Alligator mississippiensis: one gene and its partner. The protein of the gene in region 1 interacts with the protein of each later gene in a biochemical or structural test. Links are inferred from orthologs where the notes say so. Each region holds a gene or a part of one and is shown on either strand. Other genes may lie near its edges.

Region 1 (3,746 bases):
CCTTAGCACAAAGAGGGACTGCCTGTCCAGTTGACTGTGTTCTCTGCCCTACTATGTCTTATATACCCAGCTAGGGCCATGATCCAGTCAACAGTCAGTGTGCTAAGCTGCACTGCAGAGAACACCTCCTAAAGGTGCCAAGTTCCAGATGCAACATTGCATATCAATTATTTAATGAGCCAATATGCATATATGCCAATTATTGCATATTGACATATGCCTCTGTTTAAAAGCTGTGCAGACTTCGTGCTGGCATAGCGACAGCAAGATAAAAGAAAAGAAAAAAGTTGCATATCTTTACACTCAGTCTCCTGTAATCAGAGTTAAGGTTGTTTGCCTAGCATCAGAGTTATGCTGTGCCTAGCATGTGTGGATTTCTTTAAATCATCGAAGCCAGAGAGAAGAAGGTGGCAAATTGTCAGGGCTTGCTTGGCCCAGAGGTACGGTTGGGTGGGCAGAGAGGCCAGATTTGCTCTGGAAGAACTTGTACAAGAAGATGTAACAAGACATGGGCAGGACCTAGCAGTGTGAGTCTGAAGAGAAGGCCTTTGGGCACAGCCCCAGAGAGCAGTACAAGTTTGAAACCAGTGGGGTACAAGAGATGTTTAGGTTTAAAGTGAATTTCCTTCTAGAAGCTATTAAAGTTAAAGTGCTTTGTCCTTTCTATAGCTCTGAAAACCATTTATAGATTTCAGTGACAGGGACAGAACTCTGCATTATGTTAAGATGACCCAAGGACAGATTTAGAGAGGCCATCACTCTGGGATGTTCTATAGGACTTCTCCATAAGGATGAGATGAGGCGTCTCTTTCTCCTTGCCATATCCCAGCTTTGTTCAAGCTCTGAGACACACCGTCCAGAAGGATTTGCTTATGGCCAGGGTGGATTGATTGTCACTCTGGAGACAGATTCCTGCATCCTATAGCAGTGAAGAGGACTAAAGAGACATCCCCTTTCTTCCACCTGCAAAATCTGCCTGCTTAGTTGACCCTCTTTTTTTTGTCCCACTCTCAGTCAGAATGAGAAACTGAGGCAACTCACTGCAGAAAAGAATCCAGACTCTCAGACAGTAATGTCCCAAAGTAATTTAGAATCCAGCAAACCTGGCCAAAGCTTTCGAGGAATTAGAGGGAAATGGGGAAGGGAGGGAGTTGATTTCTGAACCATATTTTTGGCTGATTTACAAGGCATTTGTTCTATGCCCTGGAAGTAGGGAGTGATGCATATTGACAGCTACCTGCCCTACCATAAGGCATTACTTCACGCGCACCAAATGGCTAATGTTTAACTAACAGGTTTGGTAAAACAAGCCTGTTAGAATCCTCTCCCCAAGGGAAGGTCTGAAAAACAGAGACAGCCTCTGGCCGCAAAACTGTGAACCTGCTCTTTCATTTCTTTCCATGCCTCCTGTTCCAGGTCACAGCCATCCCCTCATCTTCAGTTTTACATAATACTGCACCTTACTGCATTATGAAGCCCTTGTCCCCCTAGCACCCATCAAAACAACCATCTGGTTTCTGCTTTTGCCAGCTGTTTAATTTTCTTGTTATATGCCTTCCTTTATGATTATAAACCAGACCTATTTTGCTAGATGCATAAAGTAGTTTGACATTTATTTCAGGAATTATGCTACACATCAAACAAATATCATTAAAATACCATGCACATAGATTGTCATTCCTGAATTTCAATATGAAAACAGATCTCTCTTCTGCTATACAGGGTGAGGCTGACACAACCCTGCAGTAACATATAATAAAGGAGAGCAAAAATGCATAAATGCACAGAGGCAATTTATGCTGATGGCTAGAGCTAGTCCAGAATTCACAATAGTTGGCAAAGAACCATGATGCAATCCAATTCTAGCCTAAAAAGAAATCCTTAAACAATCAATTATATATCATCTTGGAGAAAAAACAGATTCAAATTTGATTATTTCTGATTGAAACACTTGTAAAATACCGTTTAGATACAGTCTCGAATACATCAACACGACTATAAACTTAAAAAATAAAAATGCTCAGTAATAGACTCTACCTTTTTAAGCAAGTGGCCGGCAATGCAGCAAGTCCCTTGCACATTTTGCTATTGGAGTTCTTGTCCCAATTCCAGAAAAGAGTACAAGAGGAGGCTGAGGCTGTGTCCGGGTTTTTACCTGCTGCGCTATTTGCTTAGAATTCTCAGTGCTTCTGTTTTCTAAGCCTGCTGGCTCCAGCATGGGTCTGTTTTATAGTCTAGACCAAAGAGTCCAGCATCATTTTTCCAGCCAGTCAGAAATCAGCACAGCAGCAGCAGCCACCCCCTCCTTGCCTACACAACAGGAAAAGAGGAAGAGACTGACGTATGAATCAGGACAAAAAAGATACAATGAAAAAGAAAACCTTACCAGAAATGACAGATCACAGTTGACATGCAGATTTGGAATCTCTGGATAGAGTGGAAAAAAAATATTGTGAGTTTCCTGCCTTGCATAAGATGGGCTGTTTCTTTCAATCTATTAGGGAAAGGGGAAGGGAGGATTGGGAAAAGGTGACCGAGAAAAGGGAGAGTAAATTTGTGAGTTACTTAATTTCATTTTCCCCTTACATTTAAGATAAATCTAAACAGTGGGCAACATCTTTGAGTTAGATGACTGAATAAATGTCTTCTGTCCCCAGAGAATCAGCATAGACAGTAACTTGCAAAAATTAGAGGCCCAGGGGAAATAAAGAAATACATTACATAGGCCACGGCTACATAGGTGGCAGTGCGCAGTAACCAGCATTACTATGCAATACCGTCCCTGCACTTTTAAACTTTTTTTTTTACACTATGGTGCAGTAGCAATGAGCTTGTTACTACTTTGCCATACCATTGCCATCATGGTTCATGCCTGGCAACACTATGGTGCAGTGGTAACGAGCTACTGTGCCATAGCTCGTTGCTACTGTGCCATAGCATCTCATGTAGACACCCCCATAGAGCAGTGGGAGCCAACCTTTTTGGCAGGCATGCCAAAAATTAGACCCTCATTGTTCCTGAGGCATTGGACTGGTGCTTTCCTTTACCTGATCTGCTGCTCTGCTTTCTGCTCCCTGCCCAGTGCTCCCTGAACAAGCTGCTGTTTGCTTCCCACTCTATCTGCCACTGTGCTGCCTGTTCCCTGCCTGCCAGCCTTCACATATCACACACACAGGCTGTTCGTATCACTTGTAGCACTCATACCACAAGTTGGCCACCCCTGCCCTAGAGAATATGAGGTGTTTCTTGAGTAAAATGGGATGAGAGTCTATGGGAAGACTGAAAAAACAAACCCCACGTGCCATGCCAGTACTGAGTACAGACCTTGCAAGGAAATGCTGCATCCATGAAGGTATATTCAAATGTATGTGCTCACACCTGAAAGCAAAAATGTTTGTGTATATTTATGCAAGAAAGGGAAGATAACGTCATGGCTACTGTTTCAAGTATGTGCAGGATTGAAATAATTCTTCATTTTCATGTTGAGTAGGCAGTATTCATAAATCACTGACAGGGTAACAAAGAAGCCAAGGCTATCTAAGGAAGGAAGCCTGTCTAAGCCCTTTTCTTTTAATACGAACAAAGGCATGAGATGAGATAGAGAAATATAATCATTAAAAAAATAATACTGAGCTCACATTAAGTGGTTTTGGGGGCAAAAATGGACTTGATCTGGACCAGTAGGTGAATCCTAGGATGGTATTATAGGACTGCAATGATTTAATTCAACAGGGGCCCATGAAAGA
Region 2 (3,746 bases), on another chromosome or scaffold:
CTCACTTGACGTGACACCTTTTTTTAACAGACACTGGGGCTGGAGGGGAAGAGATGAAGTGAAGGGTCACGGCCTGTTCCTAGAGGAAATTAATGGGGAATTTCCCCTCCCTTCAGCAGGGGCAGGGGGATCAAGCCCTCCCTAAACAGCTCCATTGACTGATGCTAGTGGAGAGCCCCAGATTGCCGAGCGCTTCCGAGCTCATTCGGCTATTTCCGAGGCTGCTCGGTCTTTACCGACAGCTCCCGAAGCGTCTCCGAACGTAGCCGAGCGGGCAGCCGGCAGCCCCCGAGCGCAGCCGAGCGCTCCTGATCTCCCAGCCCCGATCGCAGCCCCAGGCTGGGCTGGGCGCTGTCCACCACCTGAACCTCCTGAAATCTCCTCCCTTCCGCGGCACAGGGCCCGGCAGCCGCCTCCCCAGCCCGGCCAGCATCTCAATCCCCGCTCCGGGGATGGATGCTCACAGCCCTTCCTCTCTGCAGAGGGGATCTGCTCCCGAGGGCCCTGCGAGGGCAGTGCTGCAGCTCCCCGCCCTCCACACCCAGTTCCGGGCCGGGATCTCTTTTCAACATCACCCCTGGAAAACACACTCTCTCTCTCTCTCTTCTTTCCCGGAGAAAAATAAAGGCACGGGGAGGCCATCGCCCTGCCACCCTGGGGACCGCTCCGCCATGGCGCCGCCAGGAAGAGGCTGGTCGTGTCTGCTCCAGTGCAAGGCTGGGATCCACCCCCCCCCCCCCGGGCACACACAAGGTTTGGTGAAATGACACCCCCCAGAGCCGCCCACTTCCCTAGCCCCTGCCCTCCCCCCATCTGCTTTCCTAGGGGATGCAATGAGTGCAGCCAGCCAGGCTGGAGCTGAGCAGGAATATATATTTGTTGTTTATTGTACAGCAGCGCCTAATTAGCAAGCGTGAGTGTGGGTGTGCGTGTGCAAAGGGGCACGGCACAACCCCTGTGCAGTCCCACACCAGCCGGCTCCATCGCTCCTCACTTGCACCGTTGCAGCCTGGAGATTTCAAACACATAGCTCGCATCACACCAGAAATGGTGGATGGGAGGAAGGGGAAGCAAGAGCAGGCTCCCGAGGTGGCCTAGGAAGGAGCTGGTTTCCTCGGTGGGTTTTTGTTTGTTTTTGTTTTAATATCCCGGTTTAATTTTAATTGGTGACCCACGGCCAAATTCATCTCGAATTAATTAAGAAGAAAGGCTCAAATCTTGGGTAAAAGGGGCTTTGAGTGGCAGCGAGCTGCGCTTTAAATCCGCATTACAGACAGATTTAAAAAAAAAAAATTGCTAGAGAGCCAACCCCGGAGCCCATGTCAGGAGATCAAACACGTGTGTGTGTGTGTGTGTGTGTGTGTGTGTGTGTGTGTTGGGGGCGTGGGGGAGGAGTGCCGGAAGATAAAAACCTGACATTAAGTTTAATTGACAGCGGTACGTTTAATGGCACTGCCCTGGTTACATCTGTGCCATTTACATCATCTTGGAAACCCACCTCCCCCCTTTGCCCTCCCGGTGAGGCAAAGAAACCGCACGAGCTCCAGTTCAGCACCAAAGCCGTGAACAGCGGACGCCCGCCGGCCGGCTCGGCCCGAAGCCTTCCCTGCACAGCCGGAAAGCCACGCTCCAGCCGTGCCAGGCCCGGGGCATCCGCCGCCCCGAAGCAGCCCTCACACTTCCCCGAGAAACATGGCGGCCACAGCCATTCATACCGCCGAGCATCCCTCCCCGCCCGCGCCTGGCGCCCGCAAAAAAAAAAAAAAAAAAAAAAAGGCGGGGGGGGGGGGTGAGGGGGACGACGGGACACGGACCCCCTCCTTGCCCCTGGGGTCAGATCCAGGCTTTACATCAGTCAAACAAGCCCCCACCCCGAAGAGGCGAGGTGGGGGGGGGGACTTACTTCATCTGCTTCACAATGGTGCTTTTCCCAGATTCTCCAGCCCCTGTTGGGACAGACACAGAAAGGAAAAGAGCTGGTGAGTGGGAGAAAATAAGATCAAGGAGATTACCAAGAAGGGAGCAGCTGGGCTAATGGATGCGGGGTGGAGGTGGGGGGAGGCCGGAGGAGGCAGGGAGGGAGGAGGGGTCGCTCCCCGGCAGGCGCCCGGGGCCGCGGTGCGGGGCGGGGGCCCGGCTTACCCAGCAGCAGCAGCTTGACATCCTTGGCAGCGCTGATCCCGTCCTCCTTGAGGTTCTTCTCGATCGCTTTGCTCCTCTCCAAGGCTGCTCTTTCCTCCGCGCTCAAGGTACATCCCATGGTGGCCAAGCAACCTCGGCGGGCTCTGCTCCCCTCTCAGACGCTCCGCGGGCGGGGAAGGCAAAGAGGCGGACACGACCCACCCCCACGAGATCGGGAACCGCCGGCCGCCCCCCCGAGATAAGCAAACGTGCAGCCGCAGGCGCGGAGAGGACCCCCGGCGGGACCACAGCCCCCCGCGCCGGCCTTCCCCGGGCTAGCCGCAGGATCAACGCATCCGAGTCGAAGCCGGGCGGGTGCGGGGCTGCAGGCACCGGGGGCTGCGCGGGAGCTGAGCCGGGGAGGAGGAGGAGGCGGGTGGGGGGAGGGTGGGTCCTTGTCCTGCTGTTGCTGCTGCCGGCTGGGAGTCTCTAATGGGCGGCGGCGGCGGCGGCAATGGCTGCGAGCGATCGCATAGTCCGGCGGCTCCTAATGGAGAGAGCGCGGGGGGCGGAGGCGGGAGTGCGCCACGGCTCCCCAGCGCGCACAGGCTCGCCTGCCTCGCTGACGTCTGTCGCGCATGCGCCCGGCCCAGTCCTCAGCGGCACCGCCTTGGTGGAGCAGGCGGGGCGGGGCGGGGCGGGGCGAGGTTGCGGGGGCAGGGGGCCGTGCCCCGCGGACGGGCTGGGGCAGATTCTGGGGGTCTCCCTCATGCCCAGGATCCCGGGACTGCAGCCCGCTCCTTTTTGCAGCTCCCAACAGCAGTCTTTCCTGCCCAAGTGGAGGGGGCTGCACCCGATGAACTTGTGAGGTCCCTTTCAGCCCCTAGCATCTGTGGATCCCGCTGCTGCAGGCGAGGTGCAGTGAGAACCCAGCCCTGCCCTGCGCCCCTCCTGTCCAGTCCCAGGGTAGACGGGTCTCCCTGTGCCCCCTATGCCCAGCTGCAGGCAGTGGAAGGTGGGGGCGCTGAGGAAGGGTCCTACAGGGCAAGGGGATTTGGGACAGCAAGTTGCAGGGAGCCTCTAACTCCTCGAACACTACCCCAGCTAGGCGGTTGGCAGTTGGTTCAACTGCAGCTGCCACCCCAATAAATCCTTGCCTCTTCTCCGGTTGTGGTCACCTAACCATGTCTTTGTCCCTAACAGGCCTCTTCTGTTGCTGGGGGATGGGATCCATTGCTAACTTCCACCTTGCTGTGAAGAAGCAGGGTTTGCAGCCAAGGCTCAGGGACTCGGGAGGCCTGGGTCAGATTCCAAGCTGGGCCACAAACTTGTGCGACGCTGAGCCGGCCCATCTTCAAAGCAGGAAATCCCACTCTTCTTCCATCCTTTGCCTGTTTAGATTGTCCTTTCCTGGGGCCATGAACTGTTCCTTCGTTATGCAAAGGTATGGTCCCTGCCTTGGGTGGGGCCTCTGAGTGTTGTCATAATCTAAATAATAACTGCAAGTTCTTTCAGCACTACAGGCCCAGGATAATCCACTGGGAAATGAAGACAGGTTCACCATCCACCATAAGACTGGGAAATCACAGCAGAACAAGTCCTGGACTTCAAGAAGGCAGATTTTG

Evidence for each region.
Region 2: the proteins of RGS4 (region 1) and GNAO1 form a complex in vitro, tested with the Homo sapiens proteins (2 studies listed by BioGRID). The link is inferred for Alligator mississippiensis from reciprocal best matches to the Homo sapiens genes RGS4 and GNAO1.

What each region holds. Positions count from the first base shown.
Region 1 is NC_081828.1:40,944,277-40,948,022, forward strand, and holds the start of RGS4 (regulator of G-protein signaling 4), read right to left. Parts: upstream 2,206-3,746; 5' UTR 2,082-2,205; coding exon 2,038-2,081; intron 1-2,037. UniProt on the Homo sapiens protein: Inhibits signal transduction by increasing the GTPase activity of G protein alpha subunits thereby driving them into their inactive GDP-bound form. Activity on G(z)-alpha is inhibited by phosphorylation of the G-protein.
Region 2 is NC_081833.1:42,086,203-42,089,948, forward strand, and holds the start of GNAO1 (guanine nucleotide-binding protein G(o) subunit alpha), read right to left. Parts: upstream 2,720-3,746; 5' UTR 2,261-2,719; coding exon 2,143-2,260; intron 1,947-2,142; coding exon 1,904-1,946; intron 1-1,903. UniProt on the Homo sapiens protein: Guanine nucleotide-binding proteins (G proteins) function as transducers downstream of G protein-coupled receptors (GPCRs) in numerous signaling cascades.